Anolis sagrei: one gene and its partners. The protein of the gene in region 1 interacts with the protein of each later gene in a pairwise test. Links are inferred from orthologs where the notes say so. Each region holds a gene or a part of one and is shown in the gene's direction. Other genes may lie near its edges.

Region 1 (8,399 bases):
AAATCACATTGAGCTCCTACTCAGAGAAGTTACATAACATGTATAAAGAGTTGGCATGGATTTTTCAAATTTCAATTAAATTGCCTCTTAATATATTAACGTTTAATATTTTCATTCACAAACTGTTTAATTGAGTTATTTTTACTCTTCTGTTAAAACTTTTATTCTGATTTTTGTGTTGTTTGAACTGTATTGCTTCTAAAGATATCATTGACCACCTTGAGTCCCATTATCAGGAGAAAAGCAGGCTATAATCAGTAGAATGGAGGGCCTTCTCAGGCCCCCTTTACACTGCCATATAAAATCCAGATTATCTACTTTGAACTGGATTATATGGCAGTGTAGACTCATATAAACCAGTTCAAAGCAGATAATCTTAGGGCCCTTCTACATTGCCATATAATCTAGATTATCAAAGCAGATAATAAACATGATCTGCTTTGAACTGGATTATATGAGTCGACACTGCCATGAGGCAGGGCATAGTGGACAAGCATACATATGTGGAGTTGTCTGTTCTGCTGCACAGTCACACAATTTATTTATTTCCGTCACTTTTACCCCACCTTTCTCACCCCCGGGGGGGGGGGGGGGGACTCAGGGCGGCTTACAGAGGAAGGCACAATTCGATGCCTTTATCACATATACATACATATATAAACAAATTAAACAATTACAAATTAAAAATTAAAATCATCCATACACAATAATACAATAACACAGCAGTAGGTTAATCCTGAGCTCAGCGTTTGAAGTTTCATAAGTCCATTCCATCTCGACAAGTTCCAGCTCGTCATCAGGTTTTTCTTTAGCTGCCTGGGTGTCCAAATGCCCGGTCCCATATCCAGGTTTTCAATTTTTTCCTAAATGAAAGAAGGGACGTTGCCGATCTAATTTCCCCGGGGAGGGAGTTCCACAGGTGGGGGGACACCACCGAGAAGGCCCTGCTCCTCGTCCCGGCCAACCTCACTTGTGATAAAGGCGGGGTCGAGAGCAGGGCCTCCCCAGGAGATCTTAGGTTCCGAGGTGGGACGTAGAGGGAGATCCGTTCGGACAGATACACTGGGCCGGAACCGTATAGGGTTTTATAGGTCAAAACCAGCACTTTGAATTGTGCTCGGAATTGGATCGGCAGCCAGTGGAGCTGACACAGCAGGGGGGTGGTGTGCTCCCTGTATGTTGCTCCGGTGAGCAGTCTGGCTGCCTCCCGCTGGACCAGTTGGAGTTTCCGAGCAGTCTTCAAAGGCAGCCCCACGTAGAGTGCGTTGCAGTAATCCAGTCGGGATGTAACAAGAGCGTGGACCACCGTGGCCAATCCCCCACAAGGTGGGGGATTCTTTTACGTAGTGCCATTTTGCCAGGTTATCTTTTGATCTGCCCACTCTGCTTTTGAGTCTGTTCAGGGACTTCCAAGTTGCCTATTCTTGGTTTGCCTCTGTAGGAAGACCTTCATGGGGAGCCATCCAATTGGGATTTCCTGGTTTAGTAGCCCAGAGGGATTCTCTTGCTGTTGGAACATTAAAAGGAATAGTGGTTCTCATGAAGCTTTTCCTTGATTTGAGTCTGCTGGGAGGAGGCTGAAAACCATGCAGTGGGTGGCTTTCATAGTGTTCAACCTTATTTATCTCACAGTTAGCAACAACTTCCCGTTGCACATTGGAGGGGGGGGGGGGGGTAATGCCAGCTAGTTTGTAGAGTTTATCAACAGGTGTAGGTTTAAGTCATCCTGTGATTATTCTGCATGTTTCATTCAATGCTATGTTCACCTGCTTTGCATGGGCAGACTTGTGCCAAACAGGGCAGGCATACTCGGAAGTTGATTAAGATAAGGCCAGGGCTGATGTTCTTATTAATTTTGGGTCTGCGCCCCATGTGCTGCCAGTAAGTTTCCACATGATGTTATTGTGTGCAGCTACTTTGTGCTTGGTGTTCATTCAATGTTTCCTATATGTTAGTGTCCAATCGAAGGTGACACCAAGATATTGTGGATGGAAACAATGTTCAAGCTCTTGACCTTCTCAGGTAACTTTCAATTTACTTTTGGCTTCATTGTTGTGTAGGTTTGAACCCGTAAACTACCCCCTTGGCTATAGGCTTGTATGGACACCCTCAACAAAGACATCAGTGAGAGCTGAGGATGCCCAAAACAAAGCCCTGTGGAAACAACAATCACAATGCTAATCTCTCCATTGGGGAAATAGCTCAGAAAGAAGAAGTGTAGGCTCTCAGGGACTCAAACTACATTACTTACTTAGGCGATCCCTTGTAGCTCGAGGATGAGGGTCTGCCAGATGTAGTGTCTTGGCAGTGAGTTCGTAGGTGGCTGTGGAGCCCTATTCTTGATCCACATGTTCTCCCGCAGTAATTACATCAGTTTCCAGATGGAAGGTGGTCCAGGTCAGGGTTGGCTTGATGTGCCTTCCCCTTGGTATGTTTCTCCCTCCATTCGTGTCTCTTCAAATTCTGCAGCACTACTGGTCACAGCTGACCTCCAGTTAGAGCGCTCAAGGGCCAGGGCTTCCCAGTTTTCGGTGTCTATGCCACAGTTTTTAAGGTTGGCTTTATGCCCATCTTTAAACCTCTTGAGGTTGGCTTTAAGCCCATCTTAGCAGCCTTTAAAAAGATCGAAAGACCTGGATTTTCTGATGTGCCTTTGGAGAACGACCATATATTCCAATCCTGTTGTTTCACCTATACTGTTTACCTCATATTGCACATTCCCCAACTTATTGAAAGTCTAATTCCACTGTTCCATCCCCTACGAGCTCCTCCCCCACAATTGTACCTTTTTTATTGCTATCTCATTCAGAGTTTTACCATTTTATGTCATGCATTTGGCCCGTCCACTGTGTTTGATTTTCCATTATGTTATTTTGTACTGTTTATTTTACTTGATGGGTTTATTTATTTTATTATGATGTTATTTTGTTGTTTATATTTTATGTTGCTGTAATGTATCACTGGGCTTGGCCTCATGTAAGCTGCTCTGAGTCCCCTTTGGGGAGATGGTGGCAGGGTATAAATAAAGTTTATTATTATTATTATTACTAGCCGTCCCCTGCCACGCGTTGCTGTGGCCCAGTCTGGTGATCTGGAAAATAAAGTAATGAGAAAGTGTTGGTTTCTAATATATGTAATATCTTGATGCTTGTGGGTAAACAGTATTTTTTGTTGTTTCTTTGTCAGTGTTGATGTGGAGAGTGTGTGGTCTGCCTACTCTGGAACATGCAACATATCCTTGTCCTTCTTTAAGGGTCCCTTTCAAATCTAGGAAACTATATATCTCTCTGTGTGTGAATCATATCTATAGCTGGATGGCTCTTTGTCAGGCAGGCATGTAGCCGGGGGGGGGGGGGGGGGTTGGGGGGGCTTCAGCCCCCCCCCCCCCAAATTCTCAGGGTGGTCCGCGAGAAGGCCTTACTGGTACATTATTTAAACTGTTATGTTATTCATATCATGATCTGATCACCATGTTCAATATATCTCATATACATGGGGGTATTGGGGTAATGATATAAAAGGTTTGCTAGGGTAGACCCTCTTTCACTCAGACTCAGCACCCCCCCCCCCCCCCGAATCAAACTCAGCTCCCCCCGAAACAAAATCCTGGCTACGGGCCTGTTGTCAGGAGGGCTTTGATTACGTTTTCTTACCCTGGTGAAGGGAGTTGGACCAGATGGTCTTAAGTATTTTCTGTTAGTCACGGGGGTTCTGTGTGGGAAATTTGCCCCAATTCTGTCTTTTGTGGGAATCAGAATACTCTTTGATTGTAGGTAAACTATAAATCCCAGTAACTACAAATCCCAAATGTCAACGTCTGTTTCCCCCAAACTCCACCTGTGTTCATATTTGGGCATATGGAATATTCGTGCCAAATTTGGTCCAGATCCGTCATTGTGTGAGTCCACAGTACTCTCTGGATGTAGGTGAACTACAACTCCCAAACACAAGGTCAATGCCCACCAAACCATTCCAGTGTGTTCTGTTAGTCATGGAAGTCCTGTATGCCATGTTTGGTTCAATTCCATCATTGGTGGAGTTCAGAATGCTCTTTGATTGTAGGTGAACTATAAATCCCAGTAACTACAAATCCCAAATGTCAAGGTCTATTTTCCCCAAACTCCATCTGTGTTCATATTTGGGCATATGGAATATTTGTGCCAAGTTTGGTCCAGATCCATCATTGTTTGAGTCCACAGTGCTCTCTAGGTGAACTAGAACTCCCAAACTCAAGGTTAATGCCCACCAAACCCTTGTAGTGTTTTCTATTGGTAATGGGAGTCCTGTATGCCATGTTTGGTTGAATTCCATCATTGGTGGAGTTCACAATCCTCTTTGATTGTAGGTGAACTATAAATCCCAGCAACTACAACTCCCAAATGACAAAATCAATTTTTTGAGTGATGGTCACTCCTTGAGGTAGTAGGTGTCTTGTGTCCAAATTTGGTGGCAATTCATCCAGTGGTTTTTGAGTTCTGTTAATCCCACAAACGAACATTACATTTTTATTTATATAGATTATTATTATTATTTATTTATTTATTTATTTATTTTCCTGTCTACCAACATTCCATTTGCCATTCTTGAGTTTGGAGTAGAGTAACTGCTTTGGGAGACGGTGATGGCCCATTTTGGACAATGGGCCAGTTCAGCATGCCCCTTCTGCCTGGCTGGCCCGAATCCCTAGCCGACTTCCTTGCACTTCCTCTTGATGGCCGCTGCGAGGCGCTGGAGAGGCCTGGCCGGCGGCAGCCCGGATGTAGCAGCAGCCGCAGCAGCAGCAGCAAGAGCAGGAGCTTGGAGAAGGAGAAGGTGGTGGACCGGGATCCAGTGCCGCGCGCTGCCTGCCTGCCAGCCAGCCAGCCAAGGCACGCGCACCGCAGGCAGCAGGAGACATGGCGCTGGGAGCGATGTAAAGGATGACAAGGAGGAGCAGGCAAAGGCGAGGCATGCAGCAGCAGCAGCAGCACCAGTTCGCTTGAGCCACCTGCCAGCAGCCCTCGGGGTAGGTAAGCACAGCAGGCAGGGGCTGGGCGTGGAGCTGGGTCTGGGGAGGGGGCTCCCTTTCTCCATGCAAGGTGGCTGGGAGCCTTTTGTGACCCATTGCTGCCTCCCTCTGCTTTTGCCTGGGAGAGAAAAGAGAGCGAGGCTGCCCGGGTGGGTGTGGAAGGGTGCCATGGCTGGTGTTGCGCAAGGAGACAGGCAAGGGGGAGAGGAGGATGCGGGGAAAGAGCCACCCCCCTGGGCTCTGCTCCTCTTTCTCTCCGCTCCTGGCATTGCCCACGCTGGCAAGACCAGGCTCCGCACAAAGGCGCATCGTGCAGAAGGGCAGCCCGGATGGGACGGAGGCAGGAGGCGTCTCCACGCTCCACACATGGAGGGATGGGCCATTGTGGGCACACATGCTCGCCCAGGATGGCATCAAGGAGGTGCTGTGGCTGAGACACACAAGAGAGGGCGGAGGGCAGCGGGCAGCCAGTGGGGCACTCTGTGGCAGTCTCCAGGACCAACACATGGCATAAACACATTGGGAAATGGGAGATATATGTCTGTATATATGGCCCCTTCCACCCAGCTGTATACAATCCACATTGAACTGGATTATATGGCAGTGTGGACTCCGGGCCCTACCACACAATCCTATATCCCAGAATAATAAGGCAGAAGATCCCACATTATCTGAGTGTGGATTAAGGCCTCTTCCACACAGCTGTATACAATCCACATTGAACTGGATTATCTGAATGTGGACTAAGGCCTCTTCTGCACAGCTGTATACAATCCACATTGAATTGGATTATATGGCAGTGTGGACTCAGGGGGATATTATACAGCCCTATATCCCAGAATACCAAGGCAGAAGATCCCACATTATATGAGTGTGGACTATGACCGCTTCCACACAGCTGTATACAAGCCACATTGAACTGGATTATATGGCAGTGTGGACTCAGGGCCCTACCACACAGTCCTATAACCCAGAATATCAAGGCAGAAGATCCCACATTATCTGAGAGTGGACTAAGGCCCCTTCCACACAGCCGTATACAATCCACATTGAACTGGATTATCTGAGTGTGGACTAAGGCCTCTTCTGCATAGCTGTATACAATCCACGCTGAACTGGATTATATGGCAGTGTGAACTAAGGGCCCTTCCACAAAGCCATATAACTCAGAATATCAAGGCAGAAGATCCCACATTATCTGAGTGCAGACTAAGGCCCCTTCCACCTAGCTGTATACAATCCACGTTGAACTGGATTATATGGCAGTGTGGACTCCGGGCCCTACCACATAGTCCTATATTCCAGAATATCAAGGCAGAAGATCCCACATTATCTGAGTTCAGACTAAGGCCCCTTCCACCCAGCTGTATACAATCCACCTTGAACTGCTTTATATGGCAGTGTGGACTGAGGGCCCTACCACACAGTCCTGTGTCCCAGAATATCAAGGCAGAAGATCCCACATTATCTGTGTAAGAACTAAGGCCCCTTCCTCACAGCTGTATACAATCCACATTGAACTGGATTGTATGGCGGTGTGGACTGAGGGCCCTTCCACAAAGCCATATAACCCAGAATATCAAGGCAGAAGATCCCACATTATCTGAGAGTGGACTAAGGCCCCTTCCACACAGCTGTATACAATCCACATTGAACTGGATTATCTGAGTGTGGACTAAGGGCCCTTCCACACAGCTGTATACAATCCACATTGAACTGGATTATATGGCAGTGTGAGGACCCCCCAATGGTGCAGTAGGTTAAACCTCTGTGCCGGCAGGACTGAAGATTGACAGGTTGCAGGTTCGAATCCGAGGAGAGCATGGATGAGCTCCCTCTGTCAGCTCCAGCTTCCTATGTGGGACATGAGAGAAGGATGGTAAAACATCAAAACATCTGGGCGTCCCCTGGGCAACGTCCTTGCAGACAGCAAATTCTCTCACACCAGAAGCAGCTTGCAGTTTCTCAAGTTGCTCCTGACACGACCAAAAATTAAAAAATTATGGCAGTGTGTACTCAGGGCCCTACCACACAGTCCTATATCCTAGAATATCAAGGCAGAAGATCCCACATTATCTGAGTGTTGACTAAGGCCCCTTCCATACAGCTGTATACAATCCATGTTGAACTGGATTATATGGCAGTGTGGACTCAGACCTACCACACAGTCCTATATCCCAGAATATCAAGGCAGAAGATCCCACATTATCTGAGTGTGGACTAAGGACTCTTCCACACAGCTGTATACAATTCACATCGAACTGGATTGTATGGCGGTGTGGACTCAGGGCCTTCCACAAAGCCATATGACCCAGAATATCAAGGCAGAAAACCCCACATTATCTGCTTTGAACTGGAATATATGGCCATGTGGACTCAGGGCCCTACCACACAGCCCTATATCCCAGAATATCAAGGCAGAAAATCCCACGATATCTGCCTTGAACTGGGTTATATGAGTCTACACTCAGATAATGTGGGATCTTCTGCCTTGATATTCTGGGATATAGGGCTGTGTGGAAGGGCCCTATGAGAACCCAGTTCAAAGTAGATGGTGTGGGATTTTATTAAGTTGAGTGGAAGGGCCCTCAGGTAATCCAGTTCAAAGCAGGTAGAGAGCTTGAGGCCCCTTCCACACAGCTGAATAAAATCCCACATTATCTGCTTAGAATTCATAGCAGTGTGGACTCAGATAATTCAGTTCAACTCCGATATTGTGGGATTTTCTACCTTGATATTCTGGTTTATATGGCTGTGTGGAAGGGCCCTGAGTCCACACTGCCATATAACCCAGTTCAAAGCAGATAATGTGAAATTTTATACAGCTGTGTGGAAGGGGCCTGAGATACCAAAGAGAAAGCCAACAAGGGAATGCCATTTTCCTCAACACGTGCCCAATTTTCAAATATTTTGATGGAGATATCTTGGTACCATAGACTCTTGCAACAACAAGAAATAATTCGAAGGAATGATGATAACTGCCTTGAGTTCCCATGGGTGAGAAAGACAGGGTAAAAATGAAGTAAATAAATAAATACTACATGCACAAAAGTATTTTTAGAATACAATATATCTTTATGTATCTTTTAATGACTGTATTTTAATAATACCAAGTCAATGCAGGGTATGGTGTAGTATGGGGTATGCTATTAGTTAGGCCTATTTGTCATAGTATCTATATAAATAAAAATGTAATGTTTGTTTGTGCGATTAACATAACTCAAAAACTGCTGGACGAATTGCCGCCAAATTTGGCCACAAGACACCTACTAACCCAAGGAGTGACCATCAGTCAAAAAATTGATTTTGTCATTTGGGAGTTGTAGTTGCTGGGATTTATAGTTCACCTACAATCAAAGAGCATTTTGAACTCCACCAATGATAGAATTGA
Region 2 (7,700 bases), on another chromosome or scaffold:
GTACTACATCCTCCATACAGTCCAGATTTAGCACCGTCTGACTTCCATCTGTTCCTGATAATGAAAGAAGATCTGCGGGGACATCATTATGCTTCTGATGAAGATGTTGAGAGAACCGTGAGACGCTGGTTGCGGAAACAGAGTGTTGACTTTTTCCGTGAAGGCTTCAGAAAACTTATTTACTGTTGGCAGAAATGTATCCAGTTGTCCGGTGATTATGTGGAAAAGTGAATAGTGGTTAAAGAGCACATTTTAAGGATTATTTTTGTGTTTGATTTATTAAAATATTCCCATCCAAACCCAAGTAACGAAGGTGGAGGCATTACTTTTCATTCAACCCTCGTATAATGTTGTATGTAATGTGTTTTTGTATGTTGTCGGCATCGAATTGCTGCCGTTGTAAGCCACCCTGATTCCCCATTTGGGGGTTGAGAAGGACGGGGTAGAAATGTTGGAAATAAATAAAAATAAATAATATATCTCTTGTCTCTCACCTGAGGCGTGAGGAAGCGTCCATTTTCTCTCAGGAGGCGGCTCCGGGCCAGAATCTGCCTGACGGACAAAGAGCATTCGACTCAGTTGTTGCCCCGACAAGATCTGTGAGCACCAAGTGGTGACGCCAGTCGTGGCATCAAAGCCACCCGCCAGGCCCAGCAGTCAAAGTTGGGATATCGCTCACATCCTCCACATTCCTAGGCTCAAGCAACTGTTTTCAGAGTGGTATTTCTAGGGGTGACAACTGCAACCCCAAAATAAGGGCCCCATTTCCATACGGCCCCCAAGCCATTGCAAGGGATTTTTTGATCAACTGCTATTTTGTATTAATAGAATCAAAAAGCTGGAAGAGACCTCATGGGCCATCCAGAAGCAGGAATATTGCATTCAAATCACCCCTGACAGATGGCCATCCAGCCTCTGCTTAAAAGCTTCCAAAGAAGGAGCCTCCACCACACTCCTGGGCAGAGAGTTCCACTGCTGAACGGCTCTCACAGTCAGGAAGTTCTTCCTCATGTTCAGTATTATGTGGATTCATTTAGGATTAAAAACATTTTGGATGATCCTGGGGACAGGATATTGCCTGTCTAACTTTGAATACCCTAATTTAGGATGTAACAAAATATCTCTATCAGCAGTCCGCAAGTTATGAACAAGATAGGTTCTGGATTGCTGTGAGTTTTCCGGGCTGTATGGCCATGTTCCAGAAGCATTCTCTCCTGATGTTTCGCCCACATCTACGGCAGGCATCCTCAGAGGTTGTGAGGTCTGTTGGGAACGAGCCAAGTGAGGTTTATATAGGTTGGAACCTTATATAGATAGCTTCTATACGGTGCTTCTTAAATTGAATTTGAATGTAAATTGGAACAGGCCATTTTTTAAAGTGCAAGGAGACACCTTTTCCCCATGATAACTCTTTCAAGAGTGAATTTCCCTTCCAAGGGGGAGATTTATCTCCCTTCCTGTTGTCCAGGACGCCTTCTACATTGCCATACAAGACATATTATATTTGGGGTGGATCCATGCTCTAGAGCGGGCATGGGCGGGTTTGGGCCCTCCAGGTGTTTTGGACTTCAACTCCCACAATTCCTAACACAATTAAGTGGCTGAGGGGGAAAAGGAAGGGTCAGCCGGCCTGACTCCCTCTACGAAGGTTGAGAAGATCGGGATATAAAAGTTTTAAATAAATAAATCAATAAGGGGCCTGAGGGTGTTAGGAATTGTGGGACTTGTAGTCCAAAACAAACACCTGGGGGACCCAGGTTTGCCCATGCCTGCTCTGGTGTGATGTGATGAGGCCCTTTAAATTGTTGTTCAATTCTTTTAATTATTATTGTTTGGACGTGGAATAATACCAGATTATGTAAACCGCCCTGAGTCCCCTTTGGGGTGAGAAGGGTATAAATAAATAAATATTATCAAAGCAGATAATTCACATTAACTTCTTTGGATTATATGAGTCTACACAGCTCAAATAAAATAATCTGGATTTTATATGGCAGTGAAGATAGGGCCTCAGATCCCTTCTACACTGCCTGATTATCTGCTTCATTTATTTACTGTATTTGTATACCACCCCTCTCAGCCTTCCGGCGACTCGAGGCAGTTTACAAGGCAAAATTCAATACCATAGAAACACAAATATAATATAAAAAAGCATTAACATCCATAAAATCGTAACAATAACAATAAAATATAAATCAATAAATCCTCATTAAAAAGAAACATTGTCCAGTCTCATTGCGTAGTTGTTCCAATTCCTATGTCCGTTACTCAATATTTGCAAATGCTTGCTCGAATAGCCATGTCTTGAGTTTTTTCCAAAATGTTAGGAGTGAAGAAGTCGATCTGATCTCCCTTGGGAGGACGTTCCATAGCTGAGGGGCCACCACTGAGAAGGCCCTGTCTCTCGTCCCCGCCAGATGTACTTGTGACGAAGGCGGGACCTAGAGCAGGGCCTCCCCAGATGATTTTAAAGTCCTCTATGGTACATAATCCTCGATGGATGTTTTGAACTGGAGTATATGGCAGTGTAGACTCAAATAATACAGTTCAAAGCAGATCATGTGGAGTATCAGTTTTGATAATCTGGATTAAATGGCATAAAGGGCCTGAGGCTTTACTGAACAATGCTTGTGGCACACTTGAGATTCCGGCTAAAGCTACATGCAATGAATGTAACGTGGGCTATACAAACTTTATACATTTGCCATAGGAATCTGTGCATCTCCTCAATTATATATGAATTGTCCAGGGTTTAAAAACCACACTAGGAAAACTAGAGAGGTGTACTGCACCCTTTAATGGGTGTCACAGCAGCTGTTGCTTTAAATAAATAAATAAATAAATAAATAATAGGATTGTTGTAGGTTTTTTCGGGCTATATGGCCATGTTCTAGAGGCATTCTCTCCTGACATTTCGCCTGCATCTATGGCAAGCATCCTCAGAGGTAGTGAGGTCTGTTGGAACTAGGACAATGGGTTTATATATCTGTGGAATGACCAGGGTGGGACAAAGAACTCTTGTCTGTTGGAGCTAGGTGTGAATGTTTCAACTGACCACCTTGATTAGCATTTGATTAGCACTCTTTAGGAGGAGTTTGAAAACGTGGCTGTTCCAGTGTGCATTCCCAGAATAGGAAACCCCAAAGCACTTTGTCCCAAATGTACTTTACTAGAAATCTAGGATTGTCTGCACGCCCTATCTTTCTCCAAAAATACTTATCAATTTCACCTGGTCATGGCCAGTTTTTAAATTTTTTAATCTATTACAACTGGCCCTGACACTGATTTTAATTGCGTCATGTTGTCATTGTCAATGCCTATTGCTTGAGTTATTTATTGATGTATTGTTTGTTGTTGTTTATTGATGTATTGGGTCTCAGCCTCTTGTACGCCGCACCGAGTCCTTTGGGAGATGGTAGCCGGTTATAAATAAAGATTTATTATTATTATTATTATTGGTGGCCTGGCAGTGCCTGGGGCAATCTTTTGTCGAGAGGTGATTAGATGTCCTTGATTGTTTCCTCTCTGTTGTTGTGCTGTTATAATTTTAGAGGTTTTTTTAAATACTGGTAGCCAGGTTTTGTTCATTTTCATGGTTTCCTCCTTTCTGTTGAAATTGTCCACATGCTTGTGGATTTCAATGGCTTCTCAACAAAAGATTCCCCCAGACTCAGCCAGGCCTTCAAATGCTAATGTGGATTTCAGTGGCTTCTCTGTGTAGTCTGACATGGTGGTTGTGAGAGTGGGCCAGCATTTCTGTGTTCTCAAATAGTATGCTGTGCCCAGCATATAATAATAATAATAATAATAATAATAATAATAATAATAGCCAGAGGCTTTTGAGGCAGAGCGGGATTCGAACCCTAGATATCAGAGTCATCTCCCAACGCCTAACCCGCTGCGCCAAACATGCACCTAGAGCACGTTACGGCATTCCATTTATAATATGGGCGTGGCTTCCCGCCAGCCTTTCCCCCGCCTCCGCTCACGTGTCCTGCCGCTGCTCGCGCCAGCCCAGCTCGCGCTCGCCGCGCCACAGCCCGGCCACGCGCAGGCGCAGAATCCCGACGGCGAGAGCGATCCAGGCGACGGGCAGGAGAACCCAGAAGCGGATCGAGCCGTCTAGGCGCAGCTCCGGCGCCGCCATTGGAAGGGAGACAGGGAGGGAACGACCACGGCGCCTCGAGGGTCTCGACCCAACTGACTTGAGAGCTAGTTTATAAAAAGAAAAACTTTTGCAAGCCGGCCTTATTAGGGAACTTGCCCGGAAGTGACGTTAGGGGCTCCGCGGGGAACTTCCGGTGCTGTGTCCCTGAGTTCTGAAGGACAGCTGTTTCCATGGCAACAACAGGCCTGGGCAAAGTTGGGCCCTCTGCGTGTTTTGGACTTCAACTCCCACCATTCCTAACAGCCTCAGGCCCTTTCCCTTTCCCCCTCAGCCGCTGAGGCTGTTAGGAATGGTGGGAGTTGAAGTCCAAAATACCAGGAGGAAAGGTCCAAGTTGGCCACAATGTAACCCCGATGTAACTACTGGAAGTGGTCTAAATCCTGGCCTAGGGAGAAGCGAGGGAGCAGCTGCACCCCCCGAGAAAGACCCAAGTTCTCCTTTCCACTCATTTCCCTCTTGCGACTTCCATCAGGATCCGGAAGTGTACGTCGCGAAGAATGATCCCACCGCTCTTTACCTTCCAGCCACTTTGAGATGTTTTTCGCGCTCATGACCCCGGAAGCGATTGCTTGGGAGGATAGTTAAATAGACCTCGCTCGTGTTGGAGTTCGGGATGAAATAAACCAAGGCGTGCAGTTGGTGAGGTCGCTTTTTGTCAATAAGACTAATTTTGCAGAAGGGCCAAAGTAGATTAGTAATTTCCCTCTATGCTGTTTGTTCATTTGTTCTCGTGAGTTAAGAGCCTATCTCTTTTTAGATTAGAGGATATTGTGCAAGGCAAAGGGCATAATGTTTGTTATCAGTGATACATGTATTTAAATCTGAGCATGCAAGTTTGTCTTGTTCTATGACTGTGATGGCACGCCAGGGATTGAAGGAAAACTATGTGTGTGCCTGGCTATTTCCCCAGCCGCTATCGGCTTACCTTTTATATATTTCTTTAAAATAAGACTCCAGAAACAAGATTAAAATTAACCAAATAAGTTTACTGGAACAAACAGAGAGAATTCCTGTCAGAGCCCTAAAAAGGTGAATCAAAACAAGGTATTACACAGATGCAGTTTTATTATTGAAATGATACAGAGTTAGAATGGCAAAGAACAGATATAAGGTATAAACTCTGAGGTAAAAAACTCGGCCCCCTCGCTGTTGCCGTTTCGGAGGAAGGTGAAGACCTGGCTATTCGAACAAGCGTTTGACTAAACAGTGAAATTGAACATAGGAATACGGAACAATGAATAATGAGAGTGGATTCTGATTTTATTGTTGAGGCGTTATGGTTGTTATATTGTTGTTAATTGTTGATGTTATAATCTATTTTAATTGCATTATACTGTTTGGTGATATTTTGCATTGTTGTGTAAACCGCTTTGAGTCGCCTAAGGGCTGAGAAAAGCGGTATAGAAATAAAGTAAATAAATAAATAAATACAAGGATATGGTAACTATTGCATCTGTCAAGTAGGAAAATTAGGTACCACCTTGTGTGGGGAGGCTAAATTAACTAATTTATGAGGCCATAAAAAACACTCCAGCAAAGCATGCGGGGAATGCGGAAGTACTTCATCAGTGTCGCAGATGGACGATGAAAGCGACAGCTCCCCTGGCGGCCAGAAAAAGTTAAATAGCCTCTGTGTATGTCTGTATATGTTGTGTGTCAAATTGGCATTGAATGTTTGCCATATATGTGTAGACTGTAATCCACCCAGAGTCCCCTGCGGGGTGAGAAGGGTGGAATAGAAATACTGTAAATAAATAAATAAACTATGAGTTAAGTACAGAGTACGGTCTTTAAGGCATGTACAACTATGATCCTTTGCATGTACAGCTATAATCTCTGATCTTTAAGTTCAAGGCTATAATCTCTGTGGCAAGTACATGCTTAAAATGACTGTTTTAGATTGCCAAGACAGTCCAGACACTTTCTGGCCTAACAATTCTAAAGCTATGCCAAAAAAGAATGGAGGGAAAATCTTTCCACCAAGCTCTGAGCCAGCAGGGCTGAACCATCAGAGCTAGGCCTCTAGGGCAGGGGTCCACAAACTTTTTAAACGGAGGGCCAGGTCACAGTCCCTCAAACTTGGAGGGCCAGATTATAATTTGAAAAAAAAAAAACATGAATTCTTATGCACACTGCACAAATCTTATTTGTACTGCAAAAATCACTTAAAATAATACAATAATTAAAATGAAGAACAATTTTGGCTGATGAGATAGGACTGTTGTTGTTGTTGTTGTTGTTGTTGTGTGCTTTCAAGTAATTTCAGACTTAGGTTGACCCTGAGCGAGGGCCGGGTAAATGACCTTGGAGGGCTTTATCTGGCCCCCGGGCCTTAGTTTGAGGACCCCTGCTCTAGGGCGATCCTAAGCTCCATTCTTAAAACTCAGCCAAATGGAACAGCCCACCCTAAAGAAAGCAAACAAGGAAATGAACAGGAGTGAAAACTAGTCTGAGACTTCACAGTGACCATGGCTGCCTTTTCATGTTTGGACATTTATTTTCCCATGTGCGGAAGCCACATCATCCTAATTTCTCTTTCATTCTGCAGGCTGTTGTGCTAGTTCCACAGTGCATCTCATGGCCATGCTGGGCAAACGAGAGGTGCAGGAGAAAGTGCTCCAATATGAGGCTTTTGTCAGTGATATCCTTCAGAGGGATCTCCAGTGAGTGATTGTATGCCCCTCCTTCGTGCCCACTTTCTCACTCATGTATAGGCCTAGTCTATGGTGTTTTCTAGATTTGTTTTGTTTCAATTTATTGCTTTTTTTTCTCCCCAGGAAGGTGCTAGAACAGCGAGATGAAGTCTATGAAAAGATTGCTCAATACTTGCAGCTCAAGAACATGATCGAACGTTTACAGGTAACTCAAAACTCTTTTAAACTGTAGAGCAGGGGTCCTCAAACTAAGGCTCGGAGCCGGATACAGCCCTCTAAGATCATTTACCCGGCCCTCGTTCAGAGTCAACCTAAGTCTGAAACGACCTGAAAGCACACAACAACAACAATCCTATCTTATCAGCCAAAAGTAGGTCCACACTTCCCATTGAAATGCTAATAAATTTATATTTGTTAAAATGGTTCTTCATTTTAATTATTGTATTGTTTTTACGTGTTTTTGCACTACAAATAAGATATGTGCAATGTTTTTTCCAAATTCTAATCCGGCCCTCCAGCAGTTTGAGGGACTATGACCTGGCCCTCTCTTTAAAACGTTTGAGGACCCCTGCTGTAGAGTGTAAGATAAAGAATTTGGCATAATTTGAAGCAGTGAGATTCAAGGGTTTAATATAGCAGGTTGAAATTCTTGGTACCATACGTGTTCTACTTGGATTTTGGGGGATTTTGTAATACTTGCATATATATAACGAGATCTTGGAGACAGGATTCAAGTTGAAACATGACATCAATTTATGTTTATGTGTATACTAAACACATACCCAGTAGATAATTTTATATACAAAATTTAAATAAATTTAATACTGAAAGTCTATTGAACTATCAGAAAACAAAGGTGCCAGTATCTAAATCACCTA
Region 3 (8,025 bases), on another chromosome or scaffold:
TCTTGATCTGCATCTTCTCCCACAGTGAGGGTATTGGTTTCCAGGTGGAAGGCGGTCTCTGTTGGGGTTGGCTTGATGCGCCTTCCTCTTGACACGTTTCTCTCTTTCGTCCTCCATTTGTGCCTCTTCAAATACTACAGCACTGCTGGTCACAGCTGACCTCCAGCTGGAGCGTTCAAGGGCCAGGGCTTCCCAGTTCTCAGTGCCTATGCCAGAGTTTTTAAGGTTGGCTTTGAGCCCATCTTTAACTCTCTTTTCCTGTCCTCCAATGTTCCATTTTCCGTTCTTGAGTTCGGAGTAGAGCAACTGCTTTGGGAGACAGCGGTCGGGCATCCGGACAACGTGGCTGGTCCAGCGGAGTTGATGGCGGAGGACCATTGCTTCAATGATGGTGGTCTTTGCTTTTTCCAGAACGCTGACGGTTGTCTGCCTGTCTTCCCAAGAAATTTGCAGGATTTTCCAGCTGCAGCGCTGATGGAATTGTTCCAGGAGTTGCATGTGACGTCTGTATACAGTCCACGTCTCGCAGGTGTGTAGCAGGGTTGGGAGGTTAAAGTGATGCCTATATCCCAGAATATCAAGGCAGAAAATCCCACAATATCTGCTTTGAACTGGGTTATCTGAGTCCACGCTCAGAGAATGTAGGATTTTCTGCCTTAATATCCAGGGATAGAGGGCTATGTGGAAGGGCCTTCAGTCAGAGGGAGTCCCATTTCCTTTCCTGATTCGGTATGCGGGTGTGTATGTGTGAGTGGGGGGGAGGGCTTTGCTCGTTGCCTGGCGACGGCAGCGTGCTGACGTCACGCCCCCTTCCCATATTTCCAAAAGCGCGCACCTCCGGGGAGGGACGTCGGGGGGCGCCGCTGGGATGGACACGGACAGGCTCGTCAAGCGGTGCGCATGCGCTCTGGGCGTGCGGCGGGCTTGTTGAATGCGGGCAATGGAGGGAGGGGGCTTGTACTGAAGAGAGAGAGAGAGGGAGGGAGGGAGCGGCCGGGAGGTATATAAGGCGCGCTGGCGTGCTCTCTCTCGGCGAGGCGGAGGCAATTCGGCGTCGAGTCCAGTTGCGCCTCCTTTTACGGAGGAGCGGGGCGTCCTTAGGCTCCTGCAGGTAAGTTCCCCATTTCTGGAAAGACCCCTTTTAGCGAAGAGGGCGCGAAGAATGGGGGAACCTCTTCCAAGGGGCACCAAGAGAGTCCCCTTATCAGCCAAGCATGGGCAAACTTCGGCCCTCGAGGTGTTTTGGACTCCAACTCCCACAATTCCTAACAGCCGGTAGGCTGTTAGGAATTGTGGGAGTTGGAGTCCAAAACCTCGAGGGCCGAAGTTTGCCCATGCCTAGTGTGGCTTCCAAGGGAGTTGCTGTCCTGTGCCTTTAAGACACATCCTCTTGTGGTGAGATGGCCGAGATGTGGGGAAAGAAGCCTCTGTGTTTAAGCAGAGTGAAACGTCCCATATTGGGGAAAATACTAAAGTCATGTTGATTTTTGCACCCTCCTTACAAGTTCCTAGAGGCATAGGATTGATGACTGTCAGCACAGTTGGCCATCCATATCCATGGACCCTACATTCATGGATTCAACCATCTACTTATTACAATCAAGCAAACCTTGATTTATATTAGGGACACAATTTTACTATGCCATTGTATATAATGAGAAATGAGCATATACAGAGTGCCAGGAACTATACCCAAAGGAATTCAAATGAATTCCTGTACTTGTAGAGCACGCACAGGCAAAGTTTGGCCCTCCAGGTGTTTTGGACCTCAACTCCAAAACACCTCCAAAAAACACCTGGAGGGCCCAAATTTGCCCGTGCTTGTTAGAGGGTCTTGTAAACCCACATAAGGAAGTCTTTCCCAACCCGTTGCTTAGTAGACATGTCTGACTCTAACTCTCTTTATGGCTGGTGATGTACCCAGCATATATGTGAGGAGAAGAAATGTTGGGAGTTTCCCACTAGCCTCCAGCCTTATTTTTGTCTGTAGATCTTGTGTGGTTATTAATGGAAGCGGGAAAAAACATTTTGCTCTGCTTATCTTGGGCATATGATTCCCCACTTACTTCATGGTCATGAGAAACTTCAAGTAGCTTCTGGAGTGAGAGAACTGGCTATCTGCAAGGACGTTGCACAGGGGATTCCCTGATGTTTTACCATCCTGTGGGAGGGTCCTCTTATATCCCCGTATGGGAAGGTGGAGCTGACAGATGGGAGCTCACCCATCTTCAAACCTCCAACCTTCAGGTCAACAGTTCAGCCGGCACAAGGGTTTAACCCAATGGTTCTCAACCTGTGATTCCCCGGATGTTTTGACCTTCAACTCCCAGAAATCCTAACAGCTGGTAAACTGGCTGGGATTTCTGGGAGTTGCAGGCCAAAAGACCTGGGGACCCACAGGTTGAGAAGCACTGGTTTAACCCATTTTGCCATCACAGCTCCTGTGATGTGAAGAGGCAGTTTAGGCAACAGAAGGCTGTTGTTCGTTTTTTAACTACTTGACTATTTCACCATGTAGCTTGGCTTTACAATTACGTGGTTAGTTCTTCTTTTTGGTAGAAGAGATGACGTAAAAGGCATTTCTGAGGGATATGGAGATAAGTGGAGAGTGCATCCTTTTCTTCTTGGGCTGGGTTATTTATTGCTCATCTAGTTCATCCTGCCAGCTAAATCCACAAAATTAAAAAAAAAAACAACCAAAACTTTGTCATCTTAAGGAGACGAGGGTAAAAATGGGAGTAATGAAGCCTGGCCATTGTCCATGGGTTCCTCTGTCATCTTCCTATTGTCCCAAGGACAAGATGGGAGATCTCTTGTTATTTGCTAGCTATCACAGATCAGAATAGGGTGGCCTCTTAAGTAGAATTTGCTCTCTTGATGTAAAATGCAGAAAATAGTCTATTTAGTGACTCCTACACTGGCTCTTTTGGACTCTCAAGAGGTTCTCAACCTGTGGGTCCCCAGGTGTTTGGGCCTGCAACTCCCAGAAATCCCAGCCAGTTTTCCAGCTGTTAGGATTTCTGGGCGTTGAAGGCCAAAACATCTGGAGACCAACATGTTGAGAACCACTTCTCTAAATCATTGCTGGTTGGCTATGCTGGCTAGACCAATGGTTCTCAACCTGTGGGTCCCCAGATGTTTTGACCTTCAACTCCCAGAAATCCTAACAGCTGGTAACCCCCCCCCCCTCTTTTTTTGCTTCTGTTTCACTTAGTACATCCTGTTGCAAATGTCTACAAGTATAACTACTATGCAGACAGCACCATAGTGATTTTAAACATCATCGTCTCAGTTTTTACTTTTCCTGTGTTCTTTTCCTATTTCTAACCCAGTGTTGACCTACATCTCCCATCATCCTTATCCAGCATAGACCTGTGTGGTTGAAGCTGTTGGAGTTTACAATCTTATACATTTGGAGAGCACCACTTTAGGGGAGGTTGCTCCAAACATTGTGTTTACACATTCTTCTTCCATCATAAGTGTGTGTATAATGTATAATTCCCCATGCATCTGATTAAATGAGCCATAGTTCATGAAAGGTTTTACCAGTGGTTCCCAACCTGTGGTCCGTGGACCACCAGTGGTCCAGAATAACCAAACTATGGTCCATGGCCTCACCGTTACTACACCTTTGCAACTAGAGTGACTGGTCTTGCAAAACCCTTTTTTAGTATGATTTTCTGTGGGCAAGCAGATGGCATATGGTTTGTAGCAGAAACTAGAGATCATGTGGTCTATCCAATGCAATTTTCTGAAGCAAAAGACTGTTTGCTGTTCTTTATGTTACAGGTTAAGAGCTTGAGAAAGTTAATTTTTAAAACTGCAAGTTCTAGGGCTCCCCAGCCAACATGGTCACTTGGTTGAGATATTTTAGGAGTTGAAACCCAAAAAGGTGACAACGCAAAGCTTTGAACATAACTACAACATACGTTGTTCATGTTTATTAAGGTACTTCCTGGAAATGCTTATCAGTAACTTCAAGCTTGTTACCGAGCAACAAGAAGTTTAGTCCTAATTTTCTGGTTTGTTTCCATCTGCTTGAGTTAAGCGGGTTGTACTGACAAAGGGAAGGCCTCTCTCTGATTACCACTAGTCTCCTGAGCTTAGCCTGGTTTCTGTTTATTTTCAGCACATAAGCGCCGTGCTTTGTTCCAAACTCAGTTTACTTTCCAGTGAAGTAGCTGCCAGCTGAGGAACGACATTGACCCATTCTTAACAAAGCCACAAGGGCTCCAAAGCATCACCTGAGAAATGTGCCTCACCACAGTGCCACAGGTGTTCATTCTGGTGCTGCTTGACTGAGAAAGTCATAGTTGGAAGTCATAGTAACTTCGGTCCAGGGAAAGGGCCTCTAAGTTGCTTATACATTTTTGCTACTAGTGTGGAGGCTCAAGGCATTCTTTCTGCAGCTTGTGGCATAAGACCCCGTCCAGGCATGTTTTGCCGACTCAGCCCCACCAAGAAGCTGGAGAAATCAAAGCTCCTTGCCTCTTCCTTAGCAGAGCACATTCCTCTGCCGTCCCTGTGGAGAGATGGTATTAAGCTCTTGCCGGTACTGCTGCTGTTAGCCTTCAGACTGAAGCAATTCAGCTTTCCAGGGAGGGCTGGTACACACTGTTACACTACAGTAAGAAGGGGCAAATGCTACGTCTCCCCTACCAGTTGGTCTGATACAAGAAGCTCTGAAGACCTTGGCACTTTGTAGTCTTCTCTTGTCCTAGAGGAGATGGATGTCCTAGGGCCCAGCCCAAAAGAACAAAATGTTTCTGGTATGTGTGTACATATGTGGATTTTCTTTCCTGATCCTTTCTGATTTGTCCTAACTCCTCTGTTAGAACCAGTCATGAAGTATTTGACGTTTCCAAGACTAATTTGCATCTCTCCCAGTCTTGATGAGCAACCAGTGGACTATGACTGTCATTTTGCATGCCTTATATAGGCAAGATTGCCTAGACAGAGTGAAGGAAGGCAGAGGGAGTAGCTGATGTCCAGAGGCAATCTTCTTGTCTGCTTGTTGTGACATAGGGTTGTTTCAGCTCGCTTATCCCAAAAGTAGCAAAGTGGTAGCAATGCCTGGTGGAGAGTTTCTGTTCCCAGAATGATTAGGTGGAGTAGATTAAGGATTCAGCCTTTATGATTTTACTTAATTAAAAGTAGCTGTGTTAAAATACAACTATGAGAACAGAGCAGTTTCAATGGGTACCTCTACACTGTCAAATGTATCCAGTTTGATACTAATTTAATTTCAGTGGAAATATAGGAGTTGTAATTTTACAAGGACTTTAGCCTTCTCTGCCCAAAGGGTGCTGGTGCCTCACTAGAATTTCATAGCATTGAGACATGGCAATTCAAGTGGTCTCAAACTGCATTGTTTCTACAGTGTAAGTGCACCTTTTGTCTTCCCATCCCAATGTAGGGTCCTTCATTCTTGAATGTTTATATTCCCTGTGTGGAAGCTCCTCAGTTTGCTGTGTGACTGGAGTCTACTAAAATGGTTTTTGTCTGTTCTCGTGTCCATGTGGAGAGTTTCACTTTATTGCAGTGGGGGTCTTATCTTATATATTTGGTTCCTGACAACCTCTGCTCTTCGTGGGTCTCATTCACACAACCGTGTTTGTTTTTCTTTCTTTGGCTCAGGGAATTCAATTGGTTTTGCTCTTGGGAAGCAGCCATTTTGAACTGGCTCTGCTTCAAACATTGGCAGTGAGAGCTGTGGCCCTTCCACACCCAGAATATCAAGGCAGAAAATCCCACAATATCTGATTTGAACTGGGTTATCTGAGTCCACACTGCCATATATTCCAGTTCAAAGCAGAAACATGGGATTTTATTCAGCTGTGTGGAAGGGGCCCAGGTTTGCTATTTATGATGACTGACCCTGGGAAATCTAGTGCTTAGGCATATGACAAAACCTATTTTCATAATTAATCCAGATGCTTTTATTGACTCAAGCAAAAGTGGCCGAGGTTTAAAATAAACCCATCCAAAGGTCATGCAAATTTATCCAAAATATACATGTGATCCTTAGGCATAGGGGCTCTTAGTTGAGACTCTTGTTGTTTCTATTAGGAAGCCAGCATTTAATATTGCTGAGATGAGCCCTTCAAGGGCTAAAGTTGGAAGTCCTTCAGGAATGTGGTTTTGGTAAAAATAGAAGAGAAACCTTTTTGCTCAGTGTTTTGAGAATGGGTGGAAAACAGGAATTATTTCCATTCTTTTCCTGGCCCTTTGTGTCACTATTCCTCTGTATTTTTGTGTGGTAGTTTTGCTTTCTGTCTGTTGTCTTTTGCTATCTTGTTTTGCTAGGACTGTGATGGAAGCTTAAAGAAGGGCAGAGAAGCTGTGGCATTCCAGCGATGTTTGGACTGCAGCTCCCATAATCGTTCACAATAAGCTATGCTGGCTGGATCTGTTTTGGATTGAAAGGCCAAAAACTCATGAGGACCATAGTTGTCAGGCCCTGCTCTGCAGACAAGGGAAGGGAAAACTTCACTGTAGGTCAAAAAGAGGAAGAACTAATGAGGGAAACAGCATGGAGAGGATGGAGGGGAGCACTTTGGTTCATGGTTCATGATGTGACATAAATGGCAAACTTTGGAGGACGAGCTCCATTTCCACAGTCCTGTTTGTCAAGCACCTCTTCTTCATGTTATCTAGTCCTCAATTGTATATAAGTGACTGTTCCTTTCTCCTTTCTCACAGAAATGTCTGATATAGACTCATACAAGGTGGTGCTGGATGGACCAGCACCATGGGGCTTCAGGTTGCAGGGTGGCAAGGACTTCAACATGCCACTCTCCATCTCCAGGGTGAGTATCAGCCTTTCAAAGCCTCTTGACAGGGAGGCCTTCTCATTCTCACTCTGAAGGATATTAAGCAGTTGTGATTTCTTTGTTATATCATCGCTTCCTTTCCAGATCATTCCTGGGTTGGCATATCCATTACCCCTGTCCTTCCTCCCCCAAACCTTTGAGGTTCCCTTTGTACCTTTTACAAGGTACCTTGTGCCTGAGAGGAAAAGAAAGGCCCTGGCTGGATAGATAGCCTAACGTCATTGGACCCATGATGTAATGAGAGGGTACTTGGCAATGACTGGACTGTCACTTGATACCCAGCTTTTTGAGGCTCCCACTCCCTATTTTTGGACCTGTGGAAATGACACTTGCCTGTGGCTGGGTGGAGATAACTCTCCACAGGAAGGGGTTGTGGTAATGTGAATACATAATTCCTGCTGTTCTAAATATGATGCCAAGAAATGCAGCTTAGTAGATCTTTATATCGGAGGGGAGTAGTCTTGCAGTTCATTTTCAACAGCTGATTGTGTTGGTCCATCAATTTTTTAAACTTCTGAGATGATGATTTCTTTAGTTTTGCTTTCTACATATTACCAAGTCTTCTGAGTGGTACTGGTTTGGGAACAGTGTGAAATGATATTCACATCTTCTCCCTGTGAGCTGACATCTTTAAGTCTACCCATTCCACACTGCATTCTGTGCTAGGAGGCTGTCCTGAAGATTAGTGGATAGAATTTTGACAAGAGTAAGAGTGGCCAAATGGTGGTCTTCCAGATGTTGTTGGACTTGAATTCCCATAATCTTTGTCCGTTGCTGTACTGCCTAAGATAATTAGGACTTACATTCTGACAACATCTGGAGGGCCAGGAGCCATCCAACCCTTTAGTACAGGGAAGATGCAGAGAAGATATGCAACTTGTGGCTCTCCAGGTGTTGCTGAACTGCTGCACTCCCATCATCTATCACCATTGACTAGGTAGTTGGGGCATAATAGTAGGATTGGCATCCCTACAACATCTGGAGGGCCACATATTCGTATTCCTGGTGTAGACACTGATTTTCTCTTGCTGCAAATGAGACCTAAGGTCACCAGTGAGCCATTTTTGTGGGTGGGCATGTGGTTCAAATCTCAGTTCAGCCACCAATTTCCAGGGCAGCTTTAAAGTCATCTATTCCATAAGAAGGCCAGCATTTCCCATCTGTAATATAGAGACCATAGTGCTCTGCCTCA
Region 4 (7,691 bases), on another chromosome or scaffold:
TTCTAGTCTCCTTCAATGCAAATGGTGTTCTTGGAGGCATAAGAAAAGCTGCCGTAAATGGTGTTTAACAGCTGAAAGACAGAATTATATGCAATCACAGCTGCTAGTTACAGAATTGCTACTTTAAGACTGCAGCTGTTTGATTATATCCATTTTTAACTTATTAGCCAATCCTCATTTTCAGAGCACTGCTAAGAAACTGTCATTCTCTTCCAAAGAGGGAAATTACGGCTTAACCCTAATGAACCACAGTCTGTAATAGAGTATGCGCTGTCAGCATTCTTTCATATTTTGCTGAACCAAATGCCTTCACAAGATGCCAGTTATAGCTGCAAAAAGAAGTTCAACTTCCAGTGACTGCCTTCTTTGGTTCTCCAAATGTTTCAGAGTGCTAGCAGGACAACGCTGTGCATTTTTGCTCAGAAGTACAATAGAGTCTCGCTTATCCAACCTCCACTCATCCAGCATTCTGTATTATCCAACGCAGTCGGCCTCCCACAGCTGTTTCAATACATTGCAATGTTTTGGTGCTAAATTCGTACATACAGTAATTACTACATAATGTTACCATGTACTGAACTGCTTTTTCTGTCAATTTGTTGTAAAATATGATGTTTTGGTGCTCAGTTTGTAAAATGATAACGTAATTTGATGTTTAATAGGCTTTTCCTTAATCTCTCCTGATTATCCAATATTTTCACATATCCAGTGTTCTGCTGGCCTGTTTATGTTGGATAAGCAAGACTTTACTGTATGTACCACCAGAGGTAGCATGAGCATTGCACTACAACTCTGGAAACCAGGGTTCAAATCCTCACTTGGCCATATAAACCCACTGGGTGACCTTTGGAAAGTTACACACTGGATGCTTGCCATAGATGCAGGTGAAATTTCAGGAGAGAATGCTTCTAGAACATGGCCATATAGCCCAAAAAACCTATAACAACCCAGTGATTCTAGCCATGAAAGCCTTCTTCAATACAAAGTGTATTATTATTACTTGTGGAGTTCCTCCTGGTTTGGTTTTGTCCCCTGTGCTGTTTAACATCATCTACATGAAAGAGCTGGGAGATGTTATCCAAAGTTTTGGATTTCAGTGTCACCAGTGTGTTGAATATACCAACTCACCCTCTCTTTTTCCCCTGCACGTTCCAAGGTTCTGAACAAATGTCTGTTGTCATTAATGGACTAGATAAGAGCCAACCAATTAGCAACAGTAAGAACTGACCATGGAACAACAGACTGGTTCAAGATTGGGAAAGGCGTACGGCAGGGTTGTATACTCTCACCCAACCTATTCAACTTGTATGCAGAACACATCATGCAATGTGCAGGGCTTGATGAATGCAAGGCTAGGGTAAAATTGCTGGAAGAAACATTAGCAACATTAGATATGCAGATGATACCACTTTGATGGCTGAAAGCAAGGAGGAGCTGAGGAGCCTTCTAATCAAAGTAAAAGAAGAAAGTGCAAAAGCTGGGTTGCAGTTAAACATAAAAAAACCAAGATTCTGGCAACTGGACTGATTGATAACTGGCAAATAGAGGGAGAAAATGTGGGGCCAGTGACAGACTTTGTATTTTCAGGTGCAAAGATTACTGCACGTGCAGACTGCAGCCAGGAAATCAGAAGACGCTTACTTCTTGGGAGGAGAGCAATGACCAGTCTCGATAAAATAGTGAAGAGTAGGGACATCACACTGACAACGAAGATCTGCATAGTTAAACCAATGGTATTCCCCATAGTAACCTACAGATGTGAGAGCTGGACCATAGGAAAGGCTGAGCAAAGGAAGATAGATGCTTTTGAGCTGTGGTGTTGGAGGAAAGTTCTGAGAGTGCCTTGGACTGCGAGAAGATCCAACCAGTCCATCCTCCAGGAAATAAAGCCCAGCTGCTCATTGGAGGGAAGGATAGTAGAGGCCAAGATGAAGTACTTTGGCCATATCATGAGAAGAAAGGAAAGCTTAGAGAAGACAATGATGCTGGGGAAAATGGAAGGAAAAAGGAAGAGGGGCCAACCAAGGGCAAGATGGATGGTATCCTTGAAGTGACTGGCTTGACTCTGAAGGAGCTGGGAGTGGCCATGGCCAACAGGGAGCTCTAGCATGGGCTGGTCCATGAGGTCACGAAGAGTTGGAAGCAACTGAACGAATAAACAACAACAAAAAGAGCTGGCAAGTTGAAACTTAATCCATGGAAGACAGAGGTGCTCCTGGTCAGGTGAAAGGCACAATTAAAAATGCTGGACATGACCCACAAAGCCTTATAACTCTTAGGTTCAGTTGATTTGAAAGACTGGATCTCCCTATAACAGTGTTTCTCAACCTTCCTAATGCTGCGACCCCTTAACATAGTTCCTCATGTTATGGTGACCCCCAAACATAAAATTATTTTATTACTACTGCATAACTGTAATTTTGCTACTGTTATGAATTGTAATGTAAATATTACATTACATGCAGGATGTATTTTTATTCACTGGACCAAATTTGGCACAAATACATGATACACCCAAATTTGAATACTGGTGGAGTTGGGGAGGGGTTTGATTTTGTCGCCTGGGAGTTGTAGTTGCTGGGATTTATAGTTCACCTACAATCAAAGAACTTTCTGAACTCCATCAATGATGGAATTGAACCAAACTTGGCACACAGAACTCCCATGACCAACAGAAAATGCTGGAAGAGTTTGGTGGGCACAGAGGGCACTGTGGACTCAAACAATGATAGATCTGGACCAAACTTGACATGATTACTCAATATGCCCAAATGTAAACACTGGTGGAGTATGGAGAAAATAGGCCTTGGCATTTCAGAGTTGTAGTCAGGCCTGTAGCTGGGGGGGGGGGGGGGGGTTGTGCTCTTTGTTTCAGCGTGACCCTACCCCCCCCCCCAAAAAAAAAACGTTCAAACCCCCCCCCCCCCCGAAATTTTCAACCCTCCCCAAAAAAAATTTCTGGCTACGGCCCTGGTTGTAGTTGCTGGGATTTATAGTTCACTTACAATCAAAGAGCCCCCTGAACCCCACCAATGATAGAATTGGGCCAAACTTCCCACACACACAACCACCATGACCAACAGAAAATACTGGAGTGATTTGGTTGGAATTGACAGTGATTTAGGGGAGATGTATTTCACCTAACTCCGGAGAGCACTGTGTTCCTAAGACCATCAGATATACAGTATATGTTTTTGAATGGTCTTTTGCAATCCTCTGACACCCCGCTTTGCAACTTCCCCAGGGGTCCCGACCCCCATGTTGAGAAACATTGCCCTATATAAAACTGATAGCTTTACTTCTCATTGGCACCACAGATCTATTTGGTGAGGACACAGGAAGGAGCCTTTTCAGGGATGAACTAACTCCCTTCCATGGGGGGCAGGCTGGCCCCTTCCCTGCTCTCCTTTTGCTGGAAACCTTTTTTTCTCAAACAAGCTGTTAATATGTAAATAGGCGACTGGAAAGCAAAACACAGGGTTCAGCCACACAGTAAACGTTTGCTTGCTGTGCGTTTTCTGGGCTGTTCAAGTAGCATTCTCTCCTGACCTTTCGCCTGCATCTGTGGCTGGCATCTTCAGAGGTCTGTTGGCAGTGAGACAAGAGGAGTGTATGCATACCTGTGGAATGTCCAGGGTGGGAGAAATAGCCCTTTCTCTGTTTATACTTTCGTTAAACAGGCACTCCACTTGCCTCATTGCCAACAGAACCACTGAAAATGCTAGCCACAGATGCGAGCGAAATGTCAGGAGAGAATGCTACTGGAACATGGCCATACAGCTCGGAAAACTCACAGAAACCCAGTGATTCCGGCCATGAAAGCCTTAGATACTACACTAAATGTAGTTTGATACCACTTTAACTGTGATAGCTCAATACAACGGAGTCCTGGGAGTTGTAGTTTTGTAAGGTTTCTAGCTTTCTCTGCCACAGAGTGCTGGTTCTTCACCAAACTACAACTCCCAGGATTCCATGGCAGGGAGTCATGGCGGTAATGTGGTGTCAAACCGCATTTATTCTACAATATAGATGCGCTTATAGTCTTCAGGAGTTGTTTTGCATGTCAAAACGAGCGCCTCAAAATTGAAGTGGCAGACGCATGCGCATTGCGATCCTACCATTAGAACAGAAGCAGTTAGAAGCATCGATTAAGAGCCAGAAGTTAGAGGGCGTTGTTAATTCGCAACCTCCCCTTTCTCTATGATCCCGCTCTCCCTTTGAAGCCACTGCCGGAGAAAGTGAGGATTCGCCTCTGACGTATGGAGCGCAATCAGCCAATGGGGGCGGTGCTACAAGCCAGGGGGCGGAGCTTGCGGGTCGGCGACTAGATTGAGCTGGAATGGGCAAGAGAAGAAGGAGTAACTTTGGAAGGGCGGGGAAGTCCTGCCAGCGAGAGGACAACTCTTCTCCTGCGTTGCTTGGAAAAGGAGACTCAAGGTGAACTGGTTTGTTTGTCTGTAATATAGATTATTAGTACAGTGTGTGTGCTACTCCTGTATTCATTTTAATTTAATTTAAATTAATTTATTCTTAATTCTGGAAACTACCCATCTTGCTGCAATTCACTGCTGTTTTTCTACTTTTGTGGGATATCAGGAAGGTTATGGGAGGCTGTGGGTCGTCTAGGGGCCTCCAGCGCGGAGGAAAGGCCAGGAGGGCAAGTCCGGGCATGTCTTTCCTCGCCTTGGGCCGCAGGCGTGCATCTTCTACACTGCAGGATGAGCGCAGTTTGACACCACTTCCACTGCCATGGCTCAGTGCGATGGCATCCCGGGGGATGTCGTTTTCCAAGGCCCTTGGCCTTCTCTGCCAAAGAGGGCTGGTGCTTCACCAAACTACAGCTCTCAGGATTCCATGGCAGTTAAAGTGGTGTCAAACTGCATTGACTCTACAGTGTAGACCAGGCATCCTCCAACTGCGGCCCTCCAGCTGTTTGGGCCTTCAACTCCCAGAATTCCTGACAATTGAACAAACTCGTTAGGGCTTCTGGGAGTTGGAGGCCCAAACAGCTGGAGGGCCGCAGTTGGAGGATGCCTTGTATAGACGCACTCAGACTTTTGAGTTGGGCACCCACAGGAGCAGAATCTCCAGACCCAAAAATTGGAATCCAGTTCAACAAGTGGAAGGAGTCCTGACAGCAAATCCTATAAATAGGTTATGTAAAGGTAAAGGTTTAGTCCAGTCGTGTCCGACTCTTTTGCTTATCCTTTATTACCATTAGTTTAACTTACTCACAACGTGCCCTTCAAAAGCAATGCACATGGGATGGTGCTTCTGCTGGGCAAAGTAAGGTGGACTGATTTTCATAGCTTCAAGACTATTAAAAACAAAAATACCCAATGTCTTCCTGTTAATCACATTTTCCAGTAGCATCGTCTAAGCTGTTCCAGGTTTCAAACTTACATAATTCCATATTTGTCTATTGCCCTGCATTTCCAAAAATCTATTCAAAGAGCCAAGTTTTTACTTTTTTCCAGAAGGTCAAGAGGGAGGGGGCCGATTTAATATCCCTAGGGAGGGAGTGTCATAGCCAAGGGGCCACCGCTGAGAAGGCCCTGTCTCTTGTCCCCGCCAGACATGCCTATGAATAAGGTGGGATCGAAAGCAGAGCTTCCCCAGACGATCTTAAAGATGATCTTAGAAGATTGCCTTGGTAGTTAAAGTAAGAAAGGTAATAAAAGTAGTATTATAGCTCCACAGTTGCGTAGATTATGATGTGAGCACTCTTCACAGTCCTTGAAATTTTGAAGCCATATAACCCATTTGTCACAGAGTGACCCTTTGATAGAAAACTCTTGGAGGCTGCATTACAAATAAAAGTTTAGGACGCCATTGTAATACTTAACATGGAAGCCATTTCTGAGCACGTGCTAGAATTGTTTGAGGCAAGGCCATTAGAATGGTTACTTCTGTCCTTCGAGCGTATCTACCCTGTAGAGTTAATGCAGTTCACTATTTTAAGTGTCATAGCTCAATGTAATGAAATCGTGGGGGTTGAAGTTTGATGCAGAGAAGTGTCATCAAACTTAACACCCGTGATTTCATTACATTGAGCTATTTGGCAGAGAAGACTAAAGGCCTTGTAAAACTACAGCTCTCTTGGTTTCATAGCATTGGACCATCACAATTAAAATAGAGTCAAAATGCATCAATTCTACAGCACTCATGTACTTTCTAGCCATCCACAAAAGCTGCACCAACTGAATGTTGGTGCTATTTAAAAGCTGTTGCCAGTTCACCAATGAACTTTTATCAGTTGTCTTTTCATTCCTATCTTTTATATTATCTTGGTCACTGTGGCTTTGGAAAGCAAGTCTGGAAACCCAATAAAACAGGTATTATGACCTTTGGGTGACATCTGTACAGTAAGAACAGAAATCTTTTTCTTTCCTCCTGTTGAGTTGCAGCTCCCAGCATTCCTGAGCACTGATTAGGGATATTGGGAGATGCTCTCTAACAATATCTGGGGTCCATATGATTACCATTCTAGCTCTACAGTATTGATGCTCTGCTGCATATATGTTGGACCATGGCCCCAACACCCTCAAACAAGAGCCATACTGGCTGGGGATAATGGGGATTGTAGCCTGGCATATCTGGAGGGAATAGGTTTGCAGAATGGTTTCTGTAGTCTCTTGTCAGTTGCCTTGAAACTTGATTGTGGGATTGAATATGATTCTCATGCGGCTTGACATGTACATGCTTTGCTGTAGGCAGTTATTCTAAACCAAGTCTTGTATTTCAGATGATCGAAACATTTGCCACAAGTGAAGCTCAAGAACTGCTGCATCAGCTGAATGTGTTACTGGAACAGGAGTTAAGATGTCAGCCAAAGTTTTCTGGCCTAAGAATAATTGAATCTGCTCATGATAACGGACTTCGAATGACTGCGAGATTGAGAGACTTTGAAGTGAAGGATCTCCTTAGTTTAACTCAGTTCTTTGGCTTTGGTACAGAGACATTTTCTCTTGCTGTGAATTTCTTGGACAGGTTTTTATCAAAAATGAAGGTAGGTCTTCAGATTACTAAGTTATAAGCCAATTTATCGCCGCCTCTGTATAAGGCTTCTGAAATATATGGGTTTCTAAGACTTCAGCTGCCAGGGAGACTTGCATTCAATGCAGTGTTGATATATCTTGCGTGCAGTTGTGCTGTGTAAATCAATCCTATTAACTGGAATCAAGGCTTGGCTTTTTCAAAACTATGTCCTCTGTCTCTTTCAAGAAGTGTTGGATAAATTCCCCATGAAGCACTAGTAAATTTATTTATTTATTTATTTATTTATTTATTTATTTATAGTATTTATATTCCACTCTTCTCACCCCGCAGGGGACTCAGGGCAGATTATAATGTACATATACATTGCAAACATTCAGTGCCATAGACACACAACACATATAGATAGACAGTAAGAGGCTATTTAACATTCCAACTTTTCCTGGCCACCAGGGGAGCTGTCGCTTCACCGTCACCATCCATCTGCGACACTGGTGAAGTATTTCCTTGTTTCCCGCATGCTTGTTGGAGATTAAATTAGTTAAATTAGCCTCCCCACATTTAAGTGGTACCTAAATTTTCCTACTTGACAGATGCAACTGTCTTTCGGGTTGCAAAGGTCGACAACAAGCTACACAATTGGTCAGAAGCTCACTCCGACCCGGGCTGGCTTCGAACTCATGACCTTTTGGTCA

Evidence for each region.
Region 2: the proteins of PAK5 (region 1) and UXT interact in binary tests that used the Homo sapiens proteins (3 or more experiments, as listed by UniProt). The two-hybrid records come from large-scale screens. The link is inferred for Anolis sagrei from reciprocal best matches to the Homo sapiens genes PAK5 and UXT.
Region 3: the proteins of PAK5 (region 1) and PDLIM7 interact in a two-hybrid assay, tested with the Homo sapiens proteins (2 studies listed by BioGRID and IntAct). The two-hybrid records come from large-scale screens. The link is inferred for Anolis sagrei from reciprocal best matches to the Homo sapiens genes PAK5 and PDLIM7.
Region 4: the proteins of PAK5 (region 1) and CCNG1 interact in binary tests that used the Homo sapiens proteins (3 or more experiments, as listed by UniProt). The two-hybrid records come from large-scale screens. The link is inferred for Anolis sagrei from reciprocal best matches to the Homo sapiens genes PAK5 and CCNG1.

What each region holds. Positions count from the first base shown.
Region 1 is NC_090021.1:145,308,510-145,316,908, forward strand, and holds the start of PAK5 (serine/threonine-protein kinase PAK 5), read left to right. Parts: upstream 1-4,775; 5' UTR 4,776-5,005; exon of another isoform or gene 5,006-5,009; intron 5,010-8,399.
Region 2 is NC_090022.1:193,097,364-193,105,063, reverse strand, and holds the start of UXT (protein UXT), read left to right. Parts: upstream 1-4,443; 5' UTR 4,444-4,807; intron 4,808-6,716; 5' UTR 6,717-6,745; coding exon 6,746-6,831; intron 6,832-6,945; coding exon 6,946-7,027; intron 7,028-7,700. Other genes in the region: ER membrane protein complex subunit 3-like, read right to left, coding at 495-552, 3,990-4,147. UniProt on the Homo sapiens protein: Involved in gene transcription regulation. Acts in concert with the corepressor URI1 to regulate androgen receptor AR-mediated transcription. Together with URI1, associates with chromatin to the NKX3-1 promoter region.
Region 3 is NC_090022.1:76,897,761-76,905,785, reverse strand, and holds the start of PDLIM7 (PDZ and LIM domain protein 7), read left to right. Parts: upstream 1-4,667; 5' UTR 4,668-4,726; coding exon 4,727-4,769; intron 4,770-6,702; coding exon 6,703-6,809; intron 6,810-8,025. UniProt on the Homo sapiens protein: May function as a scaffold on which the coordinated assembly of proteins can occur. May play a role as an adapter that, via its PDZ domain, localizes LIM-binding proteins to actin filaments of both skeletal muscle and nonmuscle tissues.
Region 4 is NC_090022.1:109,470,488-109,478,178, reverse strand, and holds the start of CCNG1 (cyclin-G1), read left to right. Parts: upstream 1-4,297; 5' UTR 4,298-4,437; intron 4,438-6,745; coding exon 6,746-7,009; intron 7,010-7,691. UniProt on the Homo sapiens protein: May play a role in growth regulation. Is associated with G2/M phase arrest in response to DNA damage. May be an intermediate by which p53 mediates its role as an inhibitor of cellular proliferation.